Daphnia pulex: one gene and its partners. The main gene of each other region encodes a partner of the protein of the gene in region 3 in a complex. Links are inferred from orthologs where the notes say so. Each region holds a gene or a part of one and is shown on either strand. Other genes may lie near its edges.

What was found.
Region 1: general transcription factor IIF subunit 2-like (region 3) and transcription initiation factor IIA subunit 1-like share a complex: the UniProt entries of both Homo sapiens proteins name them as parts of the TBP-based Pol II pre-initiation complex. The link is inferred for Daphnia pulex from reciprocal best matches to the Homo sapiens genes GTF2F2 and GTF2A1.
Region 2: general transcription factor IIF subunit 2-like (region 3) and general transcription factor IIF subunit 1-like share a complex: the UniProt entries of both Homo sapiens proteins name them as parts of the TBP-based Pol II pre-initiation complex. The link is inferred for Daphnia pulex from reciprocal best matches to the Homo sapiens genes GTF2F2 and GTF2F1.
Region 4: general transcription factor IIF subunit 2-like (region 3) and general transcription factor IIH subunit 5-like share a complex: the UniProt entries of both Homo sapiens proteins name them as parts of the TBP-based Pol II pre-initiation complex. The link is inferred for Daphnia pulex from reciprocal best matches to the Homo sapiens genes GTF2F2 and GTF2H5.
Region 5: general transcription factor IIF subunit 2-like (region 3) and DNA-directed RNA polymerase II subunit RPB2 share a complex: the UniProt entries of both Homo sapiens proteins name them as parts of the TBP-based Pol II pre-initiation complex. The link is inferred for Daphnia pulex from reciprocal best matches to the Homo sapiens genes GTF2F2 and POLR2B.

What each region holds. Positions count from the first base shown.
Region 1 is NC_060018.1:12,588,825-12,594,919, reverse strand, and holds transcription initiation factor IIA subunit 1-like, read right to left. Parts: upstream 3,231-6,095; 5' UTR 3,108-3,230; coding exon 3,084-3,107; intron 2,940-3,083; coding exon 2,750-2,939; intron 2,707-2,749; coding exon 2,608-2,706; intron 2,537-2,607; coding exon 2,336-2,536; intron 2,264-2,335; coding exon 2,142-2,263; intron 2,063-2,141; coding exon 1,793-2,062; intron 1,723-1,792; coding exon 1,615-1,722; 3' UTR 1,233-1,614; downstream 1-1,232. Other genes in the region: serine/threonine-protein phosphatase 2A regulatory subunit B'' subunit gamma-like, read left to right, coding at 3,396-3,530, 3,586-3,690, 3,754-3,863, 3,924-4,092, 4,162-4,350, 4,413-4,549, 4,614-4,827, 4,892-5,019 and 1 more; histone acetyltransferase Tip60-like, read right to left, coding at 5,299-5,515, 5,583-5,745, 5,810-6,095. UniProt on the Homo sapiens protein: TFIIA is a component of the transcription machinery of RNA polymerase II and plays an important role in transcriptional activation. TFIIA in a complex with TBP mediates transcriptional activity.
Region 2 is NC_060018.1:348,990-355,419, forward strand, and holds general transcription factor IIF subunit 1-like, read right to left. Parts: upstream 4,207-6,430; 5' UTR 3,898-4,206; coding exon 3,880-3,897; intron 3,821-3,879; coding exon 3,785-3,820; intron 3,727-3,784; coding exon 3,653-3,726; intron 3,586-3,652; coding exon 3,308-3,585; intron 3,228-3,307; coding exon 2,928-3,227; intron 2,863-2,927; coding exon 2,616-2,862; intron 2,552-2,615; coding exon 2,292-2,551; intron 2,233-2,291; coding exon 2,157-2,232; intron 2,106-2,156; coding exon 1,905-2,105; intron 1,843-1,904; coding exon 1,635-1,842; 3' UTR 1,475-1,634; downstream 1-1,474. Other genes in the region: uncharacterized protein LOC124188749, read right to left, coding at 9-214; uncharacterized protein LOC124188758, read left to right, coding at 510-624, 712-841, 902-1,003, 1,056-1,146, 1,207-1,344; regulator of microtubule dynamics protein 1-like, read left to right, coding at 4,234-4,316, 4,380-4,609, 4,671-4,819, 4,879-5,186, 5,248-5,385, 5,450-5,564, 5,636-5,677. UniProt on the Homo sapiens protein: TFIIF is a general transcription initiation factor that binds to RNA polymerase II and helps to recruit it to the initiation complex in collaboration with TFIIB. It promotes transcription elongation.
Region 3 is NC_060025.1:405,366-410,922, forward strand, and holds general transcription factor IIF subunit 2-like, read left to right. Parts: upstream 1-2,053; 5' UTR 2,054-2,207; coding exon 2,208-2,401; intron 2,402-2,470; coding exon 2,471-2,622; intron 2,623-2,748; coding exon 2,749-2,835; intron 2,836-2,899; coding exon 2,900-3,024; intron 3,025-3,084; coding exon 3,085-3,228; intron 3,229-3,287; coding exon 3,288-3,404; 3' UTR 3,405-3,619; downstream 3,620-5,557. Other genes in the region: 40S ribosomal protein S3-A-like, read left to right, coding at 4,773-4,805, 5,010-5,093, 5,154-5,389, 5,454-5,557. UniProt on the Homo sapiens protein: TFIIF is a general transcription initiation factor that binds to RNA polymerase II and helps to recruit it to the initiation complex in collaboration with TFIIB.
Region 4 is NC_060021.1:7,407,062-7,411,959, reverse strand, and holds general transcription factor IIH subunit 5-like, read right to left. Parts: upstream 2,710-4,898; 5' UTR 2,701-2,709; coding exon 2,608-2,700; intron 2,324-2,607; coding exon 2,216-2,323; intron 2,146-2,215; coding exon 2,056-2,145; 3' UTR 2,028-2,055; downstream 1-2,027. Other genes in the region: perilipin-2-like, read right to left, coding at 1-80, 159-350, 418-528; septin-1-like, read right to left, coding at 1,445-1,673, 1,743-1,836, 1,895-2,027, 3,409-3,580, 3,651-3,788, 3,867-3,976, 4,036-4,153, 4,223-4,357 and 3 more. UniProt on the Homo sapiens protein: Component of the general transcription and DNA repair factor IIH (TFIIH) core complex, which is involved in general and transcription-coupled nucleotide excision repair (NER) of damaged DNA and, when complexed to CAK, in RNA transcription by RNA polymerase II.
Region 5 is NC_060022.1:1,079,646-1,085,970, forward strand, and holds the start of DNA-directed RNA polymerase II subunit RPB2, read left to right. Parts: upstream 1-2,764; 5' UTR 2,765-2,915; coding exon 2,916-2,934; intron 2,935-2,998; coding exon 2,999-4,484; intron 4,485-4,555; coding exon 4,556-5,102; intron 5,103-5,179; coding exon 5,180-5,641; intron 5,642-5,704; coding exon 5,705-6,325. Other genes in the region: kunitz-type protease inhibitor 1-like, read left to right, coding at 2,044-2,101, 2,195-2,496. UniProt on the Homo sapiens protein: Catalytic core component of RNA polymerase II (Pol II), a DNA-dependent RNA polymerase which synthesizes mRNA precursors and many functional non-coding RNAs using the four ribonucleoside triphosphates as substrates.

The DNA of each region.
Region 1 (6,095 bases), on a different chromosome or scaffold from region 3:
GTGAATTCTAAGTGTGACATGGTGGAATCATTTAATTATAAGATTAATTGGACTTTTCACTTTTAAAGTTTCACATTTAAGAGATGCGAACTTTCGACCAAAGTTGCCACTGTAACTTGACTGATTGTATGTTTTTAAAACCATTTTTTCGTGCGATATAATTGACTCAACTTTTCGTGTCAAATCGGAACTATATGACCTGATTTAGATTTCATGGAATCAAAGGCAATTAATTGTCTAATTATACACGCACGGACGATCACCATAGCGACGTGAAATGGTTTTTTGTAAAACTGGTGAGTAGGTCTACTTGTTCTAATTAATGACTTAGGTTCTTCCATCATCACATTAAATAATAGTCATTATTTTAACCAAATTATTTCCATGATTTTTATAGTTTACAGGGTCCTTCCAATTGCTGGGGTATACGTGAACAAAGTTACATTTCGGCATGTGTTTTAAGCATGTGCGTGACTGGTTGGCCGTCTTTTGTCGTCACCACTTGAAAAACATGGAACCATCCATCCGGCTAGCTACAGGCAGCAGCAGCAGCCCCCCAACGACTGGGAGCGCTCATTAGGAACGGATGTTGTGACACGCGATTAAAAGCCATCCTGAATATACTGTAAACATTTCACTAGTTCATGTCATATCATTCACATGAAACATGTCCTCCCCTGTGACATCAACCATTTCAAAAAGAAATTTTTGAATTTATTTTCATGATAAGCAGATGGAAGAACGCCCCAGTCCGTCCTTGTTGAAACTTTTCCCCTCGTTTTTTTTTTAGTTTTGATAATGAGTCCAGCAGGTCGAATCCTAAGGTCCTGGCAACAGCAAAGTTCGTTTAGTTTTGTGCTGGTTGCCTTTTAACGGCTCTAGGAAACTTTTTGGCGGACGCCAACAACTCCTACCGCGCTGCTATCGTGTAGAAACTCCATTAACGTGTACCGAATCCAATAGTTGGATGAGCAATTCCCCGGTGATGACTGCAAACGGATGTAAGCTTTTGACCACTTGGTTATTTGCTTTCAAGTCCCCGTACGCTCGCCTGAATGACTTCCCATGTATACAACCTAATCTAGATTTCTTCCGACTAACATTGAAAATGTCCACCACCAACTGTATACGATTACAAGAATTTTTCGGTACCGTAATTAGTAACATTGTCCCCTGGGTCTTGGACTAGTTTTGGGTCACGTTATTAGAATCTTCTCGAAAACTAATTGCAATTCTTGGTAATTTGAACATATATTTTTCTTCTTCTTCTAAATATTCCTGAATCAAAAGGGGGCGACAACAGCTTCTGCAGCGAACAGGGAAAAGATGAGACAAAAAAAGAATTCGGAAAGTTTTGTGTGTTAACAAAAAAAGAGAAACGAAACAAAAGAAGCGAGGGAGGACAAACACGAATGGCTTTTGTTTCTTTGTCCCCAGGTATTTTTTCCTCTCCACCGCTCATCCAACACCCGACATGAAAAAAGAAATTCCGCACATGCACACGCACAGGCACACGAAAAATCCTTAAATTGAAAGCGAAATTCCTCCGGATTGTATTAAATGAAACATTATCTTGATTTTCCCCTAGTAGCGCAATTTCAACCTTGAATATTTTCACCACTCTGCATCACCGTTGGCCTTTTGAAAGACGTAATCGCGACCGTTAATGTTCATGATGCCGTCCTTGAGATGAAACTTCCACCTGTTTCGACTTCTCGTAATCTACAAATAGAAAAAAAAGTCATTTAAAACATTTCAATTCCAATTCGAATGCTAAAATTCAAATCCTTGCCTTGTCGTACTGGCACACGACGACGTTATCAGTTTCAAATAACACTGAGGGATCATCATCAGTCACATCGTCTTCAGAGTTGAGTGGCTCCTCGTCTGCGTTCTCTTCGTTGTCTGCGTCAATCTCCTCGTCGTCATGATCGTCCTCTTCTTCCACGTCGTCATCGTCATCATCTTCAACATCGTCGTCGTCGTCCGAAGAGTCTCCGGGTCCATCCAACTGTGTGACTCCTCCATTGTCAGTTCGCGATTGGCTCCGTGCAGCTGTCGACTACAAAGAAAAGTAATAATGCATTGTACACACATTATTATATACACTTTCGAGTGGATTCAATTTCAACCAATGGTACCTGCAACGCGTTATTAATGTGCTGCTGCAAGACAGTCGTGGCCATTTCAACTGGAAGAGAGAGAGCCGCCGTCACAGCCGGTGAACTCAGGATCGTTTGCAGCTGCGCTCCCGCTGCGCCACCTGTGACATTATTACAAATAGTAAAGAAATTAGATTGGAGCTAGTACGAACGAGATTCAATTGGGAAATAACCTTGAAGAGCATGAGCTGGAACGTGAACAGTGATGCTCTTGGCTGCTGTATGACCTGCTACTCCAGCCTGAGGAGGAACAGTGATTTGGACTGGCACCGTCCTTACTGTTGTCGTAGCAGGGGCTGCAGCTGCTGCTGTTGTTGCTGCACCTGTAGCTGCATTAGGGGTAGTCACTGGGGTTTGGGCTGCTGCTGCTGCTTTAGAGAAAATAAAAACAAACAAACAAAACAATTAATAATAATGCACTCAATGTAACAGTATACCCAACTACCTGGTTGCTTTGCCGTAGTGGCTGCCTGTTGAGGTGTAGAATTGTTCGCAGGAGCTGTAGAGCTAGCCTGCTGACCTGCTTTTGACGGCAAAGAAGACCCTTTTTTCATACATGATAAAGTCTCATAATCGATATTGGATACTTTGTTGCAGTTTGCTTTGGAGAGAAGTTTCAGCAGGATCGGTCACAGGGTCGATTGCTTTGCTGGACTGCAATTTGTTTTCCCAATTCTGCTTCAATTCGAGAAGTACAGCCTCATCGATTCCTTCGTCAAGAAACGCCTCTCGAACCCCGTTGATAACATCTTCAATAACGCCACGATACAGTTTCGACTACAAAAAAAGAAATATAAAAGTCCTTAATTAGACCAACGAGGAGTGAGATCGAGCTCGTGGAGTGGAATCGTCAATGCAACAACAGTTTCCAGGTACTATTCCCCATGAAATATTATCATAAAGTAAAAGGTAAATAAATACCACGAGTGCCTGATTGGCGGCCATTCTTTAACGAAATTGAATTTTATTTGATTTCAATTCCGGGAGGGCTTCGTTCAACAGGAAGCCGACATGAAAACTAAGACTGACGCGGCAATATATATCGAAATGCCCCCGATGGCAGCGCCACGAAGCGTGATTTTGGCTAAGCATAGCATCTAGCGGTCGAAAAAAACATTCTTTCTGCTAAAAGTAAAGCCGTTTGTTATCGTTTCGACACGTTTGAATCGAATGAACAAGAAACGTTTTTATTAGCGGCCTAAGTCTCAGTATTCGTTGATTTTCATCAACGAGATGGATGAAAAATCCGAGATTTTGGTTTTAAACGCCGAAGATGAAGATACCTTCCAAAAGTTGTATTCCGAAGGTCTCAAATATAGCAAGCAATGCTCGGAAGAAAGCATGCCAGTTCCAAAGTTCTATACCAAAGTAAGCATAACTTCCAATTGATTCCCTATAAATTTCTTATGTTTTTGTTACACAGCTTCCTAATCATGAAAACATGATTAGCCTTAAACTGAGAGAAGAAGCTAGAACAGCATTCCTTCAGAAGAAGAGCAAAGAACTCCTCGATAACAATGAACTGCAGGTTTGTTAATGTCATTGCCAGTGTTTGTGCTACTGGTAAATAAGATTTTCATCCTGTCTTTAGAATCTCTGGACTTTACTTGACAAAAATCACAGCCCTCCTGCTGGTTCTGAGCAGATGATCAATTATATTGATTTTCTCAAAGTAGGCAACATAGCTGGTCCAAAATATAAGTAAGACATGTAAATATTTGATTGGGAACACCAAGTTATTTTTTGAATTCCCCTATACAGAGCATTCTTTACACCAGATGTATTTGCAAGGCTATTGCAGAATGATATTCATGGCAGAATATCAACCATGGCAGTGTTCAATTACATCATGAGGAAAGTTTGGTTACAGCAAACTAGAATTGGTCTTTCATTATATGATGCCACAGGACAAGGTCTGCTTACTGAAATGGTGAACATCAGCAATATGTTTTTTGTTTTTGCAATATGTAATTTACTTATCTATTTTTGTTTTTCCCAGGATTTAGAGAACTACATAACTGAACTTATCCCAACATTGCCACAGTTAGAAGGGCTTGAAAAGTCATTCCATTCGTTTTACGTCTGTACCGCCGTACGCAAGTTCCTCTTTTTCCTAGATCCATTAAAGCTAGGCAAAGTCAGGATACAGGATATTCTCGCTTCTGGTTTTCTGGACGAACTTTTAGAGGTATTTAGTATATTCCTGATTCTTTTGTCATTCTTCTCGCTAAAAATATTATAATTCATCAGCTACGGGATGAAGAGCTGCCCAAAGATGCACAGGATTCAAACTGGTTTTCTGCGCCCTCCGCTCTGAGAGTCTACGGTCAATACTTAAATTTAGATACCAACAGAAACGGCATGCTTTGTCAGGAAGAGCTCAGACGGTAATTTACCATATTTCAATTTGCAGTACGTACATTTAAGATTTTTTTTAAATTTAATTTTCAGATTCGGAACTGGCACGTTGACGCGAGTTTTCATTCAACGAGTATTCGAGGAGTGCATGACCTATGAGAAAGAAATGGATTATAAAACGTACTTGGATTTCGTATTGGCCATGGACAATAAAAAGGAACCACAAGCACTTCAGTATTTTTTCCGTTTGTTGGACGTCAATCATCGAAACCATCTCAACACTTTTGACCTCCATTTTTACTTCAAAGTATTAATTTCCTCATTTGACCTTTTGACTTTCTTATCTTGAAAAAAAAAAAAATGCTTTGCAGGGGGTTCAAGAGTTGATGCAGCAGCACAAACAAGAAGTCGTTGCTTTTGACGACGTCAATGATGAGATTTTCGATATGGTGCGTCCTGCCGATCCGTCAAAAATCACTTTACATGATTTGATTAACTGGTAACACACAAAGTTCATTTAGAATTTTTTTAGAATAAGATTGTCATTGAACGTTTTCTGGCTCAGTGGATACGGTGAAACTGTGATCAATATCTTGATTGATTTGGATGGATTTTGGACATACGAGAACCGTGAAGCTGTTGTCGTAACAGACAAGAATAACCAAGAGAAACAGGACATTTGAATTTGGAATTCTTGTACATAGAAATTGTGAGTGTATTTTTTAAAAAAAAGCAAAGAAGTAGCAAGATCGCGGAATGGATTGTAGGTGCGATCTCATCACCATTTCCCTCTTTTGGACCAGTCTTTCGGTGTCCAGTGCAAGCATTTGGGATCGATGTGTAATTTCCATTTCTCTTTGTTTTTTATGCAATTTTTCATCGCTTCTTCGTTCAGAATGAGTACGTACTGCCCCTTGTAGTAATTGATGAGGTTCAAATGCTGTAAGGTGGACACCACGTCCTCTTTTTTAATGCTCGTCATTTCGCAAATTTCGCTATTTAAATTAAAACGAATTCGTTTGTCAACGTGAGCTCTAGAATGAAGTAATTTACATCACTTACTTGATGGTAATTTGAGGACGTTCACCTTCACTGGATGGTTTCATATTCATCAGAATATCACAGATTGTAAAAGCCCAGTAACTGCGATAAGACAGCAACCCTAAATCGGACAGAGGTTTTTCTGGCGAGCCCGTTTTGCCTTCGAACTTGGACAGCTCGTAACCTTTACGTAAACAAAAATGGTTTTAAAAAAATATTTCCCCTTGGGTTTACGATTCTGTACGCACTGAATTCAATAAGAAGTTTTCCATATCCTTTCCGTTGATAGGGTGGTAATGTTAAGATGCAGGCGACATTGTAGTCCTCCGAGCTTTCTTTCTCTTTGCTAAAGTAGCCGACGATATGAAAACCTCGTGCATCCACTTCAGTCATGACGTAAAAGAGGAACGGATCAGTGTCGTAATACAGTGTCTTGTGATCAAGGAACAGTTTCGCTAGCAGGCATAGGTTCTGAGCGTATGCTTTATTTTTACGGCCGTCGATTTCAAAAAAAGAAATTGTCTGTTTGCGGTA
Region 2 (6,430 bases), on a different chromosome or scaffold from region 3:
TATCATACATATCCAAGGTGATGATCGAGGCTTGACTTTCTCTCCAGTTTCCATCGACGATTGCTGCAAAATATGGGCAACCCCTGAGAACGAATTTGTGAGCTTTCAACGTCCCATCGTTTGTTTTCAAAATTATATCGGCATCTTCGTCGTCTAAACTTGCTTGTACTTCTTTAATTGCAAGATTACACGTAGAATCAGCTAAAGATTCCATTTCTACATTAATCGGAAATTCCCTTGAAATTCTGCTAATTGCACAATTCCTTTGGAAATTCCAATTCTGTCAAATAGATTCTGGGAAGAGAAAGTATAGAGTAGACGACTTTGATAAAAAACAAACAACTGAACAAGTGCAGACGACAACCGTTCACTAGAGACATCTGCTGGAATTTTTAGATTAATAACAGAGCGCGAGTGAGACAGCTATACAGACCGAGCTCTTGAGTCTTGACATTCAAGATTTGAAATTTTGAATCTTTCTTTTTTAGTTCTCGTCATTTTTGTCAGAAATGCTTCTTATCAAGGAAAATCATATGTGGAAAAATAAACCCATTGCCATTTTTCACAATGAATTGAATAACGACGTACTTATAGAAAGACTCGAACGATCTTTTCAAATACATTGTAAGATAGTGAGCTAAAGAATGAATAATAATATAATCACTTACCGATACTAAGGTATGTTAACTAATATTGAATCCATTTGGTCAGACTCAGAAAGCTTGGTGCCATTCTCTTGCTATTTCCCAGCATCCCAAGCCACATTCCTGCTTATCGACTTTAAATGTTACTTTCAGCACTGGACAGAAGATGAAGCCTACGATGAGGAGAAAATTAATTGGTGAGTGTTTGATTCATGCATACTTCTTTAACTGCAGAATTTCAACTTTGTGTTAATTAGGCTAACTAAATTTGTCAATACCAATGATGGACCTCACTTTATATATCTATGTCCACAAGTTGATGAACTCTTGATTTCTGTCACATATGATATTCAAAGAAGGTTTGCATGTTATGATAAAATTTGTGCTGAAACTAAAGTATCCAATTCTTAGTATTGAGACAATGGTCATGAATAAGACTGTATCATTTGGATTTGCTCCATCCTGGAAAGCTGCTGCAAATTATATGAAAGAAGCTGCTAATGTAGGTTACTTTATGTTTGTAGTTTTTGATACACTTTTAATGTTTATTTTCCGAGTCCAGAAATTCTCCGTCGAAAGTGTCGCCGAATATTCCGCCGATTATCAGAAAGATATTGAATTCTTGATTGAAAACGCGAAAAGGGCTTGCACAGACGACGAAGCAGACATGTCAAAGCGACTTCAAGTTTTCTCTCTATAGTATTCTGAACGAATATCCAGCACCTTGCTCACCACCAAGAAATGTTAACTTGTCAGTTCAATGGCTGTTTTTCATCTAAAAATGTGAAGTGTTTCCAATAACAGATAACTTGTTGAAATAATACCAAAACTTACAACTGCAAATTTGTTTAATCGTTCCGAAAATCACGCATTTTAACAACCGTTCTAGTCCGTTTTTATAAACCGTAAAGGGAAGGCCTGAGATAATTTCAGTAAAGTAGCAATAGTGATTGCAGCACAAACAGAACACACCAATCATCGTTATTGTCGCTAAGCCTTAATCGACAAATACATCTTCCCTTTAATTGTCTGCTTCACGGGGTTGATCTTCTTCAAAATTTGTGCAATGTGATGGACAAGCTGGTCCGACGACAAACCAGTTTTCTTGCTTTTGAACTTCTGAAGCAATTCGGTCGTTGTCATTGGCTTGCGGGATAAATAACGTCTAACAGACTCTTCATTGACTCCTTCATTGGCACTGTAAAAGAAAAAATATACATAACGTTTCAGGATTAATTTTAGTTCATTATTTATAAATACCTAGATGATGATGCAGCTGAAGCGGCAGAGGCAGCTGAAGCAGCGGATGCCATGTCCAATCGAGGTTTCTTTGTTGCTTGGCCAGTAAGAGCATCGGACACTGCAGGTGTTCCCTTTCGCTTGCTATCTGATAGCGTTGTTTTAGGCGGCGATGTTTCAGGTTTCGTCGGAGTAGCTGATCTAGAACTGTTGGCACTCCCCCTAGAAATAGTTTGTCAGTTAACTGTCAGGAAACCAAATTACTGCACTTACGGTTTCATTTTTGGGCTCGGTTTAGCTTTCTCCAGTTCGGATGCTGAGCTCTCGGCACCGCTGTCGCTTGACGATCCTGATAAATGTTTCGTTATTATTTGACTCAAACACACGATGTTTTTAAATGGATATTACCATAATCCTCGTTGCGGGGCTTTTTATCCTTGTTCTTCTTTTTTTCTTTCTTCTTCTTTTTGTCGCCTTTTTCGTCTTTGGAAGCCTTATCACCTTGCTGGTCTTCGGCACCTTCAGCATCTTCCTCTTCTTTGTCTTTGTCTTCTTCTTCCTCCTTTTCTTCGTCTTCATCTTCTTCGTCCGAGTTAAGCAACTTGCGGAGAGCATCCTCTTCGGCAACACCCTTTAGTCCGTCCTTTGCTTCTTCTTTCTCGAAATCACTAGATTAAAGAACAACGCGGGTGTGTTAGAAAATCGACAAATGCATCAAGATTAATGACATACCTTTCGTCATCGTCGGAAGAGGAAATGTAATCCAACTCTCTGCCTTCACCATCACCATCATCGCTATCTTCGATAGCTTCATCATCGGACGCATTCTTTCGCTTCTTCTTCGGCTTAACAGGTTTCTTGCCTTTCTTCTTCTTTTTCTTACTTTCTCCATCATCGTCGTCGTTATCATCATTGCCGTCGCTAGAATCGTCATCGGAAGATGCCATCATATCGTCCAATTCATCACCAAAACGAGAATCTGAATGCAAAAGTTGTTATAATTTTGTGACATTATTTATGGTGGAACTTTTGCTTGTTGCCTACCTTTAGCTCCCTTCTTTTTCTTGCCTTTCTTTCCTTTGCCTTCACCTTCTTCCTCGCCCTCTTCTTCGGCGTCTTCATCGTCTTTCCTTAGTCTCTTTCTCATCATGACATTGAACATGTTGTATGTTTTGTTCCTCATGTTGTACCCTTCCTCTGCTTCTTCAATACTCAGTGGTTTGTAATTTTGAACTGCTTGAAAACTGTATTGTTCTTGCACAGGAAAGGCATCAAACACACCATCTGGTGCTTGCGTAAAAACGTAGTACGATGCATTTTCATTAATGCCACCATCTCTTACTCCTGTTTAATAAAATAAATATAATTGCACATTACTAAACTTTCTTATTGCTATCTTAGCTTGGTTTCCAACTTTAGTATACCTCTGAACTTTTTCCCACTTTTTCCCCCATGTTGTAAAATCCAAGGCTGGTTTTCAGGATTATACTTTTTGCTTATTATGCCATACTTCTTCCGTCTAGCTTCCTCACGAGCCTCTCTGCCATATTCACTCCCAGCACCAAACTTTGGCATATCTTCATTGAACCCTTTGAATGTGACTTGGTTGTTTTCCCTTTCCATTTTTGGATCTTTCCATTGTACAAAGTCAATACCCATTGAGCCATTGAATCTCATGATGGCAAGCTTTTTGTTTATGTTCCTGTGACAACATTATAAACTCGGTTTAAGAAGGCAAAAATCTAGATGGTAATGTCTGATATTCTTACTTGGGGACTCGAATGTCAATAGTCTGAACATTAGAAGCAGCAGCGGCAGGAGCTGATCCACCAGCAGCTGGAGTCTAATGTAACACATATTATTATGTTGAACTAATTAATTAAAAACCAAAATGTCTTTACCCTGGTAGCAGCAGGAGTTGATCCACCAGTAGGAGTCTTGAGAAACACATGTATTAATATTGAATTAACTGATTGAGAAGACAAAAAAATTGTACCTTGTTAACAGCAGACATTATGATGTGACGGTGAAAAACGATTGACAAAACAACTTCTCACCGGCGACACAATGATCGAGACACACCACCGATGTGTTCGTCACAAGTTCGTCACGAATGGTAAATAACTAACCCAACTATGCACGTTACTAAATTATAGGCCAAAATTAAGGGGTGGTGATCGAAATTTCTATGCCAAAAAATATTGGGACACTTTAAACAGCGCCAACGAATTTTATACCCGACCCGATACTGAAGAAAAATAGTCGACGACGACCCAGTTCAGTTTTCGTCTGCTTCAGTTCTTTTCTTTTCACGTCGAGACTGCACTGTCGACTTCCCGCCTTGAACCACATGATAAATTGTGAAAGGCTATTTCTCACTTACCTTATTAAAATATCCAAAAATGGCCAATCAAAAAGTTTTTTTATAAAGAGGTCTAAATTGTTAAGTAATATTACAAGTAAAGTAAATGATTATTCATTTTTCAACTATTGAAGTTCGTTAGTTCCAATTTTGGTCGCCATGGAATTAGATTACCTATCTATTCTCAACTGCCTAATTCGTTTTTCGTCATTTATTTTCTTTCTGTTGTGGAAAGCGTTCGTCATGGTGTTATCGTTCTCTGGGAGAAAAATATATGGAATAGTTTACCATGCATTTGTTGTGTACAGGAAAAGATTCCTGAATGTTGTTCCTAAGAAACCAGCTCTAGTTTCAAGAAACATTGGTAAGTTGCCTAATTTTTGAATTCATGTAACAAAAACAATCAATAACTTGTTAATCTGCAGGATGGATGCTGGGTTTGTTACCTGCAGTCTCTGCTAGTGTAAAAGTTGATGAAGAAAGAGAAAATAAGACCAATCTTATTTCTGAAGCTGATGTCTTGTACAATGAGCATTCCTACACCAAATTGAGAAGTCTTCTGTTGCCCTACAAGGTAATAAGAATAAACTGATTTGTCAGTCTCTGTTTTAATGTTGGAAAAACTTTTTTTAGGCCGAAGATAATGCCGAAATTCTTTGGCGACTGGCACGAGCGACGTATGAAGTAGCGAAATTATCGTCCAGTCCAATTGAACAAAAAGAATTAGATTTTGAAGCATACGGTTATGTTGAAGGGGCGCTGCTCATTGATCCGGAAAACTTTGCTGCTCACAAGTGGATGTTTATTTTGTTAGATAAAAAGGCGTCCTACGAGGGCTTAAAGGAGCGCATTTCTCAATCGTTTGTCGTCAAGAAACACATAGAAAGAGCGTGTGAACTCAACCCAAAGGATGCAACTTCATTTCATTTGCTAGGCTACTGGTATGACAAGATAACAACTTTTCTTTTGTATGTAACGTAACACATTTTCGTGCAACTTTAGGTGCTTTTCTGTTGCTGAATTGCCGTGGCTTCAGAGGCAAATTGCCTCAACCTTGTTTGCTACACCGCCCGTATCTTCTTACGAAGAGGCACTGCAGTATTTCCTAAGAGCGGAAGAAGTTGAGCCGAATTTTTACAGGTACGGCTTGGTTTAATTTTTCATTTTTCTAAATAATTGTGCATTTTGAATGGTTTCGTTTCAGTACGAATTTATTGATGCTGGGGAAAACATATTTGCGGCTCAACAATAAAGAAAAAGCTATCGCTTATTTGACCAGAGCTCGAGATTATGCTATCGCCTCGTCAGAAGATTTGGAGGTGACATATAACGCATTAACCTTTTCTACATTTTATTGTTTGATAAAAATGGTTTTACATTGATATCATAGGCCAAACACGAGGCAGTCAAGCTATTAAATTCCATCAGATAGGCCGCTGGCTCCAAGGACGCTCGAGGATATTTACCCATATCCTTCCACATAAAGAAAAATGTATGCGCCTCTTCTGTTTACCTTGAAATTTAATCAAAAATGTTTGTTTTTTTATTATTAAATGATTTCCTTGTGTGTGTGTTATCGGTACAACATGCAATAGTGCAACAGTTTCCCAAATTTCCCCGTGCGTGTTTACGAATACAAAGTTCATTCACTTGTTCTCGATAGGTCCGATAGGTAGCGTTGCGTGTCACCACAGCCCGAAATGTGCCGAGCTAGAATCCCCGCCAGCCATATGAAGGGAAAGGATACGACGTATGTGTTATCTGTACGTGACGGTCCGTCGGCATTGTGAGTTGCTTCGTGTAGTTCTGAGCTTGTGGACTTGTTTATTTGACTGTGTCTGCTAGGTCAGGAGTTTGTTTCTACAAGTTTTTACTTTGTTTCATCTCTTCCCTGTTGGATTCAACTAAAAGAAAATCCTGTTTTCTTTAATTAGGCAAAACAGGTGGTTGTGGAAATTTTCTGGCAGTCTGTTTGGCGATCACGTGAAAAGTAAGTCCTCGATTATTTTCGTTCACTATCATTCGTGTGTGTGTCTGCTTGGAATCTAAAATTGTGTACAACTCCGCCTGGTTGTATGGCAACCGAACTGGTTCGTTCGTCTGGCGTCTGTAAATCAACAGATAACCAACTGCGTATACAATTCGTGCGGGTAGAGATAAAACGAAGGCAATAGTATATGACACA
Region 3 (5,557 bases):
ATACTACTCGCAGCAACCAATGTATATGCGCCCAGCATACTTAAACAGCCCGAAAGAAAACGACGATGGTTGCCGACGACGACGACTTTCAGGGTAGGAACTTTTTTTAAAATAAGACCGATGGGGGTGGAGCAGGGAATATTCTTTGTGAGCTAACCGATGATTCCAATTTGGCCGACAGGTGACGGTTTTTTATTTTCTTATTTTTCTGTGTTATCTAGTGGGGGCAAGGTAGCATTTTATGATCGCCAATGAGCGATGTGGCGTTTATATATAGGTCAGATAATGCGCGACACATTTGTCATTTCTGTTTTAGTAGTCTGTACTTTTGCGATCAATTAGAAATTTCTCTATTCATAATTGTTGCAGATTGTTATTGTTATTGTAAAGATTAAAATAGACAGGATAACGTATTAAATCCAGTCACATGGGCGGTCACGGATCATCCTTCATATTTTTTCTCTTTAACTTTCATGGGTTCACTAATTAAAAAAAGTTGTTTTTTATTTTATTTTTATTTTTTGGCTTAGAGGGAGACGGTAGGAAGCTGGAGAATAGTAATTAAACTAATTAGAACTCACACATTGCAAGACGCAAGAGGCAAGAAAAATTAGCCGTGAAGACGAATGGCGAAATTAAATATTCATGATTTTATGTGTTCCTGGAAGAGTTGGTCTTGAAGCGATGGCATACTTGAGATTGTTGGCTGCACAACTTTACTTTCATAAAAGCTCATAAAATGTTTTCTTACTCTTTGATTTTATTATGAAATAAATAACAATGAAAGAATCATAGGTTGAATATGAAATATCTTTTAATAAATCGCAATAACCGAATTAATAGCCTAATATTTAATTCACACATTTTCTTAATCACCTTGAATGTACTAATTGGAATACAAATTGCAGTTTAAAGTGCGATAACCGCAACTTGGGTTATGACTTTTATTCTCTGTTCGTTTGCATTCGACAAGAATATTTAGACTCACTATAGCTTATACTCACCAGTGTAAAATGATCAAATTTAAAATAGCCTATTCGTTCTTTCTTCGGTAGATAATTTCTTTCAATTATCTTGGACTAGTGTATACAACTTTCAAACTAAAATATATGTTTCTATTCTCTCGCACTGTCCATTTCAAAGCGCAATCAAGTATGTTGTATATTCGATCACGGAGTGGAGTGCTGGCCTGGTCGTCAGCTTCTTGATTCCGCCACCAGCGGCCACCATGAGAAAGGGAAACCCGTTTAGAATTTCAAATTGCTGTGCTCTTTTTATTTTTACCGTTTCGCCATCTCTTGTTTAGACAAATCTATGTTATACATGTATAGCAATTCGTACTAGTGATAGAACTCAATTATAGTAAAAGGAGTTAGTGGACGGACATTGTCCCCCCACAAGACATCGCCTTAAGTACCAATCTAGTTGTTATAACTTTCTCGATTTCGTAGAATTGTTTGATTTTGAATCCAGTTACAAGTGGTAATACATATTCCGATCGAATCAGACCAACTAGTACAAAAAGAGGTTTCCCAGTTTCTGCTTTGTTTCAGAGGGCGATTATATACTTGGCCAGGCATTCCGGTGATTTCGTACTTATTAAAATTCCAAACATTCCGAATCACTTCTCACGGGGCGTTATGAAAAATACCACATTATTCCGCGTCTGAAAGTTACACAGATAGACGTCCTGATTTGCAAATTCCTATAAATCTAGAAAGGCAAGAAAATAATAATAATAATAATATTAGGGAATTCATACTGAAACAAATTTGAGATTTGAGCATTGAGATATGCAATCAGGGTTACATTTGAGGAGGAGTAAAAAGCTAAATGAAAAAATGTTGGCCAATCAAACTATTTCCTGTTAAAAGCTTATTAAAGGGATTGTGCAACAACAAATTTGATCAGTTATTTTTTTTAAGGCCATTAAATTTCCATGCCATTTCGATTTTTGGGGGGTTTTATTAAAGAAAAATGCGTTGACGAACTGATGGTTGCGTAAACTTATCTAATAAAACAAAAGAACGCGCTCTGGCGCGATTTATAGCAGACGATAGACTTGAAGACCTTTTCAGTTGTGTGACGTTGTCGATTGAAAGAAGAAACGATTACTTGTTTTATTAAAGCCGGCCAATATTTAGAACTACATTCTCTTGAATAGGTTTTTCTAGTACGTTGAAGCAGAATTTTTAAAACTGAAAACCATGGAGTCAAAGAAAAAGGAGAAAGAAAAAGAGAAAGACAAGGAGAAAGACAAAGATGTCATCGTTTATGAAAGGGAAATGGAAATGTCTTCAGCTAGTCGGGGTGTTTGGTTGGTGAAAGTACCAAAATACATTTCAAGTCGATGGGATAAATGCCCTGGAAATATTACAGCTGGACAACTGAATATTACTAGGTATGCATCAATTGGTTTATGTTAACAAATCGACAAATCCTTTATTAACTCATTACAACTCTTGTTCAGGGTGCAAGGACAAAAGTCTCAAGTCAAACTTATTCTGTCGGAAGCTATTATGTGTCTCCAGGAAAAAGGAGAGGAACCTATTCCTAAAGAGCATGGATTGATTGTTTCACACATTACTTCACAAACATTGGGTGTATTTTCTCAACAAACCAGTACGTACTACTTGACAGTTATGGGGAAGATTTTTATTTTAGGCCTGAGCTTAAAGCATGATATTTAAAGTGGCGTGCTTGCAATTAATCTAATTTAATATTGACATTTTTGTATTGTTTCCCCAGCTCCAGCCACCGCGAACTCACCTATGGAAACTGAGAAGATCATATTTGAAGGCAAAGTTGCCCAGAAGCTTGAATGTAGACCAACAGGTGAGACCAACAAAATAAAGTTCCTAAGCTTGAAGTGAGCATTAATGATTTTTATTTTCATCAGCAAATGCAAGTTACATGAAACTCAAAAGGGATTCTTTGATTAAAGCTGCCCAACCTACAAGAATTGTGAAGCAATTGGATCGAGTGGTTCAAAGTTACAAACCCATCTCTGACCACAAGCATAATGTAAATATAGCAATTCTCGTCTATTTTTGGTACATCATAACCTTTTATTCCTGATTACAGAAAGAATTCGACGAAAAGAAGAAAGCTGAGGGTAAGAAAGCCAGAGATGATAAGGGCAAAGTTATGGACATGCTGTTTGCAGCTTTTGAAAAGCATCAGTACTACAACATCAAGGACTTGGTAAAACTCACCAACCAACCTGTGGTAAGAAAAAGTTGTTTTCATACAAGCATTTGCACTTTTAAAACCCTCTGCTTTTATAGACCTACCTCAAGGAAATTTTGAAGGATGTTTGTGTATACAATTTGAAGAATCCTCACAAAAACATGTGGGAACTGAAACCGGAATACCGCCACTACAAAGATGAAGACAAGGACTAATAAGTAAACAGTCCATTAACTTTCTAATAAAGCTGTGATTTTCAGAAAACTACTAAACAGCTCTTGGATGCACATAACTTCAGATAACTCAAATGGGTTTCAACTGCCCTTGAAATTGTTCGATAAAATGTTCTCTTAGGCTACAATTTTCCCTTCGTCTAAAAATTCCCGTGCTAACAAGTGTGTGGTCCAATACATCGATGCGAACTTGAAAATTTTACCAATATAATTTATCCCAACCATATCAGGAAGAAATGATTTCATGAGCGAGTTCAGTGCGAAAAGTAGGCTTATGTGCTAACGAGGAACCCCTTTTAAACAGAATCGTAAGATTGTAAAAACAAGAATCAAGTAAAAGGTTACATGTTAATATTTACAGCTTTTCATGGTACCCTACTTACAGTTAACATTATATTATCTCAGTCAAAAGCCATAATCTATTAGAATAGCAACAGCCTGTCTCTTGATGAGATTCATCATCCAACCATGATTCAACCAACAATTTAACGCTGAATATAGTTATCTACAAATTAATTTGTTTTAATTTTCACTAGTTACAATTTGCCAGAATGTAATTTTAAAAATTGTTTATTTGTCAATATAGATACTATAAAATACACCAAACAGAATTATTTCACCAGGAAATCTGCAACTTCAGGTAGCGATGTGAGGGTTCCTGTACAACAACAGAATAAGAATTAGCATTTCAACATCATAGAAAACCATTTAAAGCACACTTCAACAAATTATCCACAGTGTGCCTCAGTGCCTTCAACATCAATTACTTTATGTTACTACTATCAAATGTTTTAATTCGGTTCAATCCATGTGTTCCAAATAAGGAGACAACGGTAGATCAGAATAAATTTTAATTTAGCATGTCCGCTTGGCCACTATAAGCTAAGTAGAGCTAGTGTGGTTCAAAGGAATGCAAAATTCAGTCTTAGTTGCATGAATTAAATAAGATATTTACCGAAACGAATACAAAACTGGCTAGCAGCAATCAAACCAGATGGGGGAGCTTCACATGCTTCAAATGGCGTTTTACAGTCCTACTTATAACATTTGATTTCGTCCAACGCTGTTGAATTTCGGACTTCCTGTCGGAGTTGACAGATGGAAAATCTACAATAAAACTTTTGAAATCTTTTAAACAAATATGAACCAATTAAACTTGTTTATAATTTATTATTTCTATAATGATAGTTGAAAAAATTTTAAAAAGCAAACTGAAATAAATTATGTGGGAAGATGAATTCCGAAAGAGGGGGTTGAGAAGGAGGCAATGCTGGGCTTGTCAACTTCGTCTACAGAAAAAGTACTGTGTATTCCTTCTTCCTCTCGTAGACCGGTCTTAAAATACGTGAAATGGCTACGGCTCAGATCTCGAAAAAACGAAAGGCAAGTAATTCTTTCAACACGTGAATCTTTTTCATCTTGTTCTCACATATTCACCGTTTGAATATTGAGGTGTTATTGATGAAATAGAACAGTTTCTAACCAGGATGTGAAAGATTTTGGAGGATAAAATTCGTCTTGGCTTGACATGTTTCTATTGTCAGTGTGCTTGAGTTTACCTAATTTTCTTATAATTTTGTATTACAGTTTGTGGCGGGAGGTGTCTTCAAGGCTGAATTGAACGCCTTCTTGACCCGTGAATTGGCCGAAGATGGTTATTCTGGAGTTGAGGTAATTCTTGTGAAATTATTTTGTTACTGTGTAGATATCTAAAACCCATTTTCCTATTAGGTGCGCCTTGCCCCCACTCGCACAGAAATCATCATTCTGGCTACACGTACCCAGAATGTTTTGGGTGAGAAAGGCCGTCGCATTCGCGAGTTGACATCTGTTGTCCAAAAGAGATTTGGCTTCCAAGAGGGAACTGTTGAGCTCTATGCTGAGAAGGTTGCTACTCGTGGCTTGTGTGCTATTGCCCAAGCTGAGTCCCTGCGCTACAAACTCATTGGTGGTTTGGCTGTTCGCAGGTAAGCTAATTCAATAGGCTGACGTTTAAATAGTGCATTTCTGATGTAATGTGTTGTTACACAGAGCTTGTTATGGTGTTCTCCGTTTCATCATGGAGTCTGGAGCTAAGGGTTGTGAAGTTGTTGTATCTGGCAAACTTCGAGGTCAGCGAGCCAAGAGCATGAAGT
Region 4 (4,898 bases), on a different chromosome or scaffold from region 3:
ACCAAGTTGACAGCAGACGAAACACCTGTTTGTACCGGTTGCAGTTTGTCGCTGACATATGAACGAGTATTTGTCATGATCTGTAAATAATTAAACAAAATTAAATTAAATACATGATTATCTTTACAATGACTGTGTAACTGCACTAAAAAAGATACCTCTTCTGGAGTCTTTGTGACAACTGGTAATGTTTCCTCTACTTTGTTAAGAGTTTTGCAGGCCAATGTATCCACAGCGTGAATAGGTTTTTCAAACGTTGTTTGAACGATCGGCAAAACACAACTAGCAGCATAGTTTATAGTGTCTTCGGCGGTAGACCATGTCTTTTTGATCAGCGACGGGCTGTAATCCTGCAATTATATTATACATGTAAGAATCACGATCACAGAGACACACAAGATTACTTGAAAATTTTACCTTGGCTTTGATGTATGCATCAGAAGCATAGTCAATAGCAGAGTGAACAACAGGAAGATTGGCAACTCGAGAGATGAACTCTGGGGTTTGTGGGATGTCAGAATGAACCATCTTCTTGAAGTTTGGTGCTGCTGGTGTTTGTGGTGCTTGCTTGCCCTTGTTTCTTTTCCCTTTAAGATGATATTTATGATGCATGATCACTTAAAAAATAAACATCGTAATAAATACGAATAAATAGCATACTGTTAACTTTTATGACTAATTTCTCACTTATCAACACTCCAAAGTGAAACAATTTCTTATTTAATAAATTCTCAGTTATTTAACTCTAATTGCAACTCCAGAAACTAAAACAAAGTACTCTAATACAACTTATTTATACACAGCTTAATTAAACATCAATCAATTTCTATTACCTTATTGTATTTAAAATAAAACAGACTCACGCTAATTGTATACCGTAGACGCTGGAACTCTGGAGAGATCCACTCAAGACGACGGAACACGATGACTGAATGAAGAAACGAGATCTCGACGAATATATATACTAAAATAAATGCGCCTGAAATGCGACAAATGGGACGCAAGTGCAAGAAGGATGGGAAGAAAAGGAGAAACCATTCGATCTGATAAAAAGGGGTCGAGTTTCTTTAGCGTTATTCAGACGTACTATCAAGGTCATTTATAGGCTTATGTATTTCGTCGCCTCGTGTCATTTTCTAAGTATTTGTTGTGACTGTCTTTTCAACCCTCTTCCCCAACACGTGCATTGCCCCCTACCTCCTTAATAATCAAGCCTTCAGGCTTCAGCAAATGAAATTTTCTAGGACTACCGAGCTTCATGTAATTTGTGCTGTTGCTCCATATTTATAATTTGCCCAAAATCAAAAGGATTTTTATATGAGCATTTTAATACACTTTAATCATAGTTAGAGGAGCGCTGATTTATTTGTTCATTTAATAAGAAAAAGTATAATCGAAAAGGGTTTATTGATGAGATGACAAGTAAGAAAGCAATGGAATATTATTAGGCGGTCCACTTCAAGCAACGCGTGTCTTGATGAGTACCTAAGCATTTGACGCTACAGTACCTTGCGCCACAAGATAAACAGGTGTAACTACAAGTAAATCCACAAACAGCACAAAAATGACGTTCGGGAAACTTAGATGGTGGAACTTGAGCTGAAACATAATTTGGGGGCTCTGGGCGATTAACCTGTTCTTCCTCCAACAGCTGTGCAAAGGATTTTCGAAACCTGTAAAAGAGGAGAAATTACTTCAATAGAATTACACTTCGTTTCAGCAATTAATATTAAACAAAATACCGTTGTTTGAAAATTTCGAAATTTTTAGATTTCCTTCTTCTTGTTTGTTTACCATCAAGAGACTCTTCAAACTTGGGGATCTTTTTGCTTAGTACTGCATAAATATCCAGAATTAATGAAAGATCTGAAAACTAGCCAACTTACAAAAATACCTAAATTGGCATGAGGGTCATCATGAAAATTATCTTGCTCAAGTGCTTCCAATGCTTTCCTTGCTCTTCTCCTACGAGCTGCCTCATCCAAAACCCTTCTGGAATTGGCATCCTTCTGACGGGCTGACTCTCTCTGAGATGAATTCATGATGATAGATAATTTACTCGATTTCTCTTTCTGCCAAAGGAAAACTGATCCTGTCCATCAAATCATCAATTCTAGACTGCAAAACTTCCAGATATTCAGGTGCCTAACAGAGAAAATGTCAAAAAGATAAAAATACAAAATATGAGAAAATAGAAGTATTTTTTAAATTTTACAATGAAAACGTGAGTTTCATCCAAATCTTGAACTATGAATTTGTTGCCTAGAGCATGTGTCTCGTCTAAATGAAGAAGCAATTGTTTCATAGCAGCATCACATTCAACCTTTGGGTAATAATACAAATTCAAGTATAAATTTAACAATTAAGCACCATGTAAAGAAAAGGTAAACCATTATAAGTTGCCACCTGAGATACTTATTAATTTCTAAATCTATGACTATTTCCACGGGATAGTCCGATCGAATATTTTGTGCTTTCTTTCTGACAAGAAACTTTTACCAGCACAGTCAATTTCACTAGTGATTGAAGTAAGTTAAAATACCATACTTCAAATACAAAGATATAATAAATCAAGTGGCATTTATAAGTTTTACCGTAAATTATTACCAGAATTCCTTTAGTTACGTTTACCATCTTGCCCCATTGGTAAAAAGTAAGTAAGTAACTGATCGTCTGATCACCATTTTGGATTTTTGGCATCTTCTTTCAGCACTTCCAGCTTTTGATTGGCGTCGGTAGGTGGCGTCTTAAATTGAGCGGGAAAGGAGTTTGTTGGCGCATTATATAAAAATTTACAAGACTTCCATTCATAAAGGTTTGGTTTCACTTCAAGAAAACTAAGAAAAATTAAATCTTTTAATGGGAAAAAGGAAGCAAGAGTCTGAAAAAATTGTATATTGAAATACTGCGACCAGTACCGAGAGTCCGAGACACTAAAAAGAAAATGATTGGGTAGGATATTCGAGGCGCATCTGGGCTTTAATTGCCCTACATGGAAGAAAAATTCGAATGTACGCAAATGAGGAAAATTACTAGTGAAGTGACCAAATAATGAAGCACAGCGAATTTGTTAAATGTTGGCACTTGAATGGGATTTTATCGAGGAAACCTAAGATCTTCACATTGGAAGGTAAGAGTGCCAAGGGTGTTGAAACAGCAATCAAAGCTGAATAAACAGTCAAAACAGTAGAGAAGAATTCCTTTTGGTTTAAGTGACAACTGAAAATTGCTGTTAAAGACGACGCACAGTGCTATTGAGGTTGTTGTTGTTGCATTTGTGCTTGCATTTGAGCCAACATCTGTTGCATACGTCGTAGCTCCGCCTCTTTTTCCTGTGAGAACAAAACAATGATGCAAACGGTCGAAACACTATTTCCATTGTCTATTAATAACACAATAGTTACTAACCTGAAGTATTTTTTCTTTCTCACTAATCTGCTCCGGAGCAGCCGATGGCGCGGTGGAATTAGTTGGCCCAGCGGTTTTTCGATTCGAAGCTACACCTTTAGCAAGACGTTCTGATCGGTAGTTCTCATAGTGAACATCTTGTGTTACTTCCTGTAAATCTTGTAGCTGTTGACTAAATAATGAAAGAATTAAACGTTAGTGCAATGCAAGATTTTCGATCTTTGACGAGTCAAACAAGTTACATCAGCATCGTTCGGAGTTTAATGAAATCGCAGTGTTCAGGATTTTCAACTTCAACGACACCCCATGGATACTGCCGTCCGCGGACCTTTCGGCCCTTAACTTCAATCAACGTATTGGCCCCACATACAGCAAAAGGTCTGAATAAATGAATTATATTATTATTATTATTATGAATGAATTATAATTGTTATTAGTCTGAATGAATTATTACATACACTGCGTCTTTAAGCTGACGAACTTGCTCTTTGTAGTCTTCGTCTTCATCCGAATCGCAATCGGGAAGTGGGTAAATACGAATTCCGTTTGCCTCAATTTCTTCCATGACCTAATAATTTTTTAGTTAAACAAGTTTATAATAAATCTAAATGTTGGTCACAATTTTACCCTTTTCTTCAACCGAGCAATTTCTTTCTTTGTTAGCATATCTGCTTTAGCGATTACAGGCACGATGTTGACTTTGTGATGCAGCATTTTCATAAATTGCGTATCAAGGGGTTTAAGCCTATTTAGGAAAAGATTAGCCAATACATTCTGTGAAATCTAGTTGAATCACGAGTGGAATCTATCATACCCATGTCCATATGGAGAAATGAAGTAGAAACAGCAATGGACCCGGTTATCGACTATGTTACGGCGGTTTAACCCACTCTCATCGCGCAGGAAACGCTCAAATTGGTCATCAATATACTGAATTATTGATCTGAAGCTAAACAAAATTAAGACAATTTAAAATTAAATCAAAAATGGGCCTTAAAAAGTGATTTTTTTTCATTACCAATCTGTATTATCAATAGCATCTCCAAATCCAGGTGTATCAACCACTGTAAGGCGGAGCTTGACTCCCCTTTCTTCAATTTCCACAGTAGAAGCATCAATTTTGACTGTCTGCTTTGTGCGTTCTGTGAAAAAATTATTCTATTATGACCGTTGAAGCATTTTCTAGCTAAATTCTAAGCACCAACCTCCAGCTGATGGAATATTTCGTTCAGGATAAAGATCAGTCAAGAATAAACTATTGACTAGTGTTGACTTGCCAAGCCCAGTTTCTCCTAATGGATTCAAAATAAAAATCTTTAGAGTTGATGACATGAAATACAATTGCTTTGTCATTACCGACAACCATCAGAGTAAACTCAAACCCTTTTTTAACAGATTTTCTGTGAACTTGGTTAGGCAAATTCGCGAACCCTACGTATCCCGGCATTTCCGGGTTGGTAAACTGTTTCAATAAGAGAGTACATGTTTAA
Region 5 (6,325 bases), on a different chromosome or scaffold from region 3:
TGTGCAACGTATGGAAATGTTTCTTTGAAAACAGCATTTGACTAGCGGCGAAAGAGTTTAACCGTGTCTGATTCCAGGATATTGAAGGCAGCAGGCAGCTAAACCAGTCCTTCACACAAGGCAGAAAAAACGTATTTTTCGGGACCTTTTTCCCACCTCGTCCTAGTGCGTCTTACATTTTGATTAATCAAAGGCCATCCACACCAAAAAGCCTTTTTTTCTTTTCTCGTTTGGGCATATTACATATATAGACTGTGTTCAGGCAAATTAAATGACTGGTCCTTTTCTGGCTTTCAGCCAACTAAGAACCAAGCATCACCTAGCAGAAACTGTTATCAGATACGAAATTAATGATTTTTAAATGTAACATAAGACAATCTTATTTAAATATTTTTACCTATGCACTAAAGTTAACAGTAGAGTCAACTGATGATACAGCGAATAATGCTGCACAATAGAAATTATTCGGTACTTTAACTGAACATAAGTTTCTATGTTTTCCGATTTCGCCCAGTAAAAATAACATAGCGAATAAGAAAAATGTGCGGAACCTGTTCTTTCTCTCTTGAATCGAAGACGCCGAAAAATTTTGAGAACATGTAAACCAGTTTGCTGTTTATGCGCTTCGTTTTTAGATGTATCTAAAATCGTGATGTTGCTTATTCTCCACCCTGTGGACAACTTGTTGATGATCAAGCTTGATAATTTTTTTTTTCAAGGATGACTTGCTGGCGAAGACTTCTGGAATTTGCCAGTTACGGAAAAGGTGTGACCAGTCGCAGACCCGACCTATAAAAACCCGCCATCCGACACATCTTCCTCAGTCGAACGCAGATATTGCTCAGTACAACCACTTATTACTCGCAATATCCAGTAATTTTCAAACTGAAAATGTCATTCATTATCCTGCTCTGTCTTGTTGCCTTCGCTTCGGCTGCTCCCCGTAAGTTAAATCATTAAAATATTATTAGAACATAAAATCTAGCTGTTTAATTGAAATTGGCTTTTCATTTTTTAAATTTTGACAGAACGAGCTGCCGTTCCAGTCCTTCAATTAGACCCCGTTTGCCTATTGCCTCCAGTTGCTGATTCTACACAAAACTGCAATAACTACTCCGTCAAGTACTATTTCGATCCGGTCGATGGCGACTGCGAAGATTTCCTTTATTCCGGATGCGGCGCCACTGAAAATGTTTTCAACTCCGAATTGGCCTGCGAACTCCGCTGCGAAAATGTCCACGATCAATTGAACAGTCACGAGAGCATCGAGGTCTTCGGGCGCTATTGGGATTAATTGCAACGCACATCTTTTTTCATGCTCTGTTTCAATCGTGCAATAATTTTTTTTCAGTTTGATGTGTTTGTTGAATTTCAATCCAGGTTATACTGTACCAACTTATTATTGTTGACATTTTTCTCAATCCGCAGTTATCTTTTTTTGTTAACTTCCCATGTAATCCGATATAAATACAGTTGAAGTTTGATTAGAATACATTTTTTCAGTTTTAATATAATCAAGTTGGTTTACAATTAAAATTTAATTTAATTCAATAAATGAATCAAATCAATATAAATTATACAAATAAAACGGAAAACATAAAATTCGAAGCCAATTCGAATTCTCTCTATAATTCCGAGCTTATGTTTAAGTAAGTACATTTGAAATTCTGATATAAAGAGCCCGGAGCTAAATAAATAATTGTGCAATCATGTCGTGCATATATTTTTCAAAGGAAGACAATGATCAAGATGATGAACTGTACAAACCGGTTATCGATATGTGTGTGTTTAATTCTTTTGCGATGCGCGCTTTTCTCTTTTCTCTTCCTTTAGGGGTGAATGATTAAGCGGTTATTTTTATTTTGGTTACATCGCGAAAGGTCAAATTCATGTTTTTTCCAGCTATAATGCCCGATTGCAGGGCTGTAATTATCTCTAGCGGGACTATAAGTACCAGCCGGTCGACTCCTTCCTTCTTCAGTCGAAAGCAGAAGAAGGTTTTTCCCATTTGCTCCATTCAACTCCATAAACTTCAACCGGAAAATGTCGGCTACGTTCGTCGTTATGCTCTGCCTCGTCGCTTTCTCCTCTGCTGCTCCTCGTAAGTGATTTTTTAAATCTAAAATTTTAGTTTTATGTAACATGGGCTTTTTCAAGCAATGCTCTTTTACGATTTATGAATATATTTGAATAGAATTGGCGGTCCCAGTACCGGTATTTGCTCAACGACCATTGGATCCGGTTTGTCTCTTGCCACCACTCAACCCCAAAGTGCGTTGCAATCAATTTTCCATCAAGTGGTACTACGACTCTGCTACCAGGGATTGTGAAAAGATTTTCTACACTGGCTGTGGAGGATCTGAAAATCTATTCGCCAGCGAAGACCTTTGCGAATTGCGCTGTGATCAAGATAATTTCGACAGCTACGAGAGCGTTGAGGACTTCCAGCAATATCCCTCGTTGCAGAAATTCAGATATTTCGTTCTTGGCAAGTAATCAATTGATGTAAAATGCTTTTCTCTAGCACAACGTTGTTATTCTTTTATTTTAAAAAGTAATTTAAAGAATTGTTCTTACATTGATCACATGGATTGTCTTTCAATGTAATCTATATTATTCAGTTAAAATTAATTTTGAATACACTTCTTATTTACTCACACAATACGAGTTGTTTCGTGTTTTAAAGAAAATATTTTTTTACCGACTTTTAAATAAACCGGCGAAATTAAAATATATCCGGCAACGCCACCTTGCGTCTCATTTTCGATTTGGCCGGCAGATGTCGAAATTGAGTTTTTCCGACAAGTGCGACAACAGTGAACGAAAGTCGACTGCCGGCTGCAAAGGCCAACGAATCTTTACATTGCAGTCGTTTTCTAATTCATAATTAATTTGTCGATTCGTATAATAACACAATGTACGATCAAGACGAAGGTAACATCAAAATATGATGATATTCATACATTTTTTTCTCATTCTAACGTGTCTTTTACTTAAGATCCGATCGAGGATGAAGATGGCGAGGAAATCTCTTCAGAGCTTTGGCAAGAAGCCTGTTGGATTGTCATCAACGCATATTTCGATGAAAAAGGTCTTGTGCGACAACAGCTTGATTCGTTTGATGAATTTATTCAGATGTCTGTACAAAGAATTGTTGAAGATTCACCTGCCATTGACCTTCAGGCAGAAGCCCAGCATTCTTCGGGGGAAGTAGAAAACCCTCCGAGATATGTCCTAAAATTTGAGCAGATTTACCTCTCGAAACCTACACATTGGGAGAAAGATGGTGCTCCGACAGCCATGATGCCTAATGAAGCAAGACTAAGAAATCTCACCTACTCTGCCCCGTTGTATGTTGATATCACGAAAACTGTGCACAAAGAAGGGGAAGAGCAGGTCGAGACACAGCATCAGAAAACATTCATTGGCAAAATTCCTATCATGTTGAGATCCACTTATTGCCTGCTGAATGGAATGAATGATCGTGATTTGTGTGAATTGAATGAATGCCCTCTCGATCCTGGTGGATATTTTATCATCAACGGCTCAGAAAAAGTATTGATTGCTCAAGAGAAGATGGCCACAAATACAGTGTATGTCTTCAGCATGAAGGACGGCAAATTCGCTTACAAGACAGAAATTCGTTCCTGCTTGGAACACTCGTCACGTCCAACCTCCACCTTGTACGTCAACATGTTGGCACGTGGTGGTCAGGGCATCAAGAAATCCGCCATCGGCCAGCGTATCATTGCCATTCTGCCCTACATTAAGCAAGAAATTCCCATTATGATTGTGTTCCGAGCCTTAGGTTTCGTGGCCGATCGAGATATTCTCGAGCACATCATCTACGACTTTGAAGACCCCGAAATGATGGAAATGGTGAAACCTTCGCTGGACGAAGCCTTCGTCATCCAGGAGCAGAATGTTGCCTTGAATTTCATCGGTGCTCGCGGTGCCAGGCCTGGTGTCACCAAAGAGAAGCGTATCAAGTACGCCCGTGAGATTCTCCAAAAGGAAATGTTGCCTCACGTTGGTGTGTCCGACTTTTGCGAGACGAAGAAAGCCTATTTCCTCGGCTACATGGTCCATCGCTTGCTGCTGGCTGCCTTGGGACGCCGTGAGCTGGACGATCGTGATCACTACGGCAACAAACGTCTGGATCTCGCCGGACCGTTGATGGCTTTCCTCTTCCGAGCCCTTTTCAAAACTCTCATGAAAGAAGTCCGAATGTACGCACAGAAATTCATCGATCGAGGAAAAGATTTCAATTTGGAACTGGCCATTAAGACCCGCATCATCACCGACGGACTCCGTTACTCGTTGGCCACAGGAAATTGGGGAGACCAGAAAAAAGCCCATCAGGCCCGCGCTGGTGTCTCTCAGGTGTTGAACCGATTGACTTTCGCTTCGACCTTGTCACATTTGCGTCGCCTCAATTCGCCCATTGGTCGTGACGGTAAACTGGCCAAACCTCGTCAGCTCCAGTAAGTCATTGATTTCAAATTATTTTCATCGGCTTTTGTTTATTACATAACATTTTTTAAAACTATTTTAGCAACACGCTGTGGGGAATGGTTTGTCCAGCCGAAACGCCCGAAGGAGCTGCTGTCGGTCTCGTCAAGAATTTGGCTTTGATGGCCTACATTTCAGTCGGTTCCCAACCGTCGCCCATCCTCGAGTTTTTGGAAGAGTGGTCCATGGAGAACTTGGAAGAAATCGCTCCGTCTGCCATTGCGGATGCCACCAAGATTTTCGTCAACGGTTGCTGGGTGGGTATCCATCGCGACCCGGAGCAGTTGATGGCCACCCTGCGCAAACTGCGTCGTCAGATGGACATTATCGTGTCTGAAGTATCGATGGTGCGCGACATCCAGGACCGTGAAATTCGAATTTACACGGACGCCGGCCGTATTTGTCGTCCATTGTTGATCGTCGAGAACTGCAAATTGTTGCTGAAGAAGCGCCACGTTGACATGCTCAAACAGCGCGAGTACATCAATTTCAGCTGGCAGGAACTGGTGGCCACTGGTGTAGTCGAGTACATTGACACTTTGGAGGAGGAGACGGCCATGATTGCCATGTCGCCCGAGGACTTGCGCCAGGTAAATTTTCTGCATTGATTTTTTCTTTCCCTACCCCACCCCATCCAGCCGTTGAATGTTTTGCTTTGTTTATCCAGGGTAAAGACGCCTACTGTACGACGTACACGCATTGCGAGATTCATCCGGCCATGATTTTGGGAGTTTGCGCCTCGATTATTCCGTTTCCCGATCACAACCAGTCGCCTCGTAACACTTACCAAAGCGCCATGGGTAAACAAGCCATGGGAGTGTACATTACTAACTTCCACGTCCGGATGGACACTCTGGCCCACGTCCTGCAGTACCCTCAGAAACCTTTGGTCACGACACGCTCCATGGAGTACCTGCGCTTCAGAGAGTTGCCCGCCGGCATCAATTCGATTGTTGCCATTCTCAGCTACACCGGATACAACCAGGAGGATTCCGTCATCATAAACGCTTCCGCCGTCGAACGAGGATTCTTCCGCTCCGTCTTTTTCCGATCCTACAAAGATCAAGAGTCTAAACGATCGGCCGATCAGGAGGAAACGTTCGAGAAGCCTTTCCGCGATCATTGCCAGGTAACCGATCAGAATTCCGGAATTTTTTAACTTCTTCGGTAATCACATTTTGTTTTCGTCTAGGGAATGAGAAATGCCATTTACGACAAGTTAGACGACGACGGCATCATTGCACCTGGACTTCGTGTGTCTGGCGATGACGTGGTTATTGGCAAAACGATCACTCTTCCGGAGAACGACGACGACCTGGAGAGCACCACTAAAAAGTTCTCGAAACGGGACGCCTCCACTTTCCTGCGTCACTCGGAGACGGGCATTGTGGACCAGGTGATGCTGACGTTGAACGCCGAAGGCAACAAGTTTTGCAAGATTCGCGTCCGCTCGGTCCGCATCCCGCAGATTGGCGACAAATTCGCCTCCCGTCACGGTCAGAAGGGTACGTGTGGAATTCAGTACCGCCAGGAGGATATGCCGTTCACTTGCGAGGGCCTGACTCCCGACATCATCATTAACCCGCACGCCATTCCGTCTCGTATGACAATTGGTCACTTGATCGAATGCCTTCAGGGCAAAGTGTCGGCCAACAAGGGCGAAATCGGCGACGCCACTCCGTTCAACGACGCCGTCAACGTCCAAAAGATCTCGAACCTCTTGCAAGAGTACGGCTATCACCTGAGAGGCAACGAAGTGCTCTACAACGGCCACACTGGTCGCAAGCTCAGCGCTCAAGTCTTTCTCGGCCCG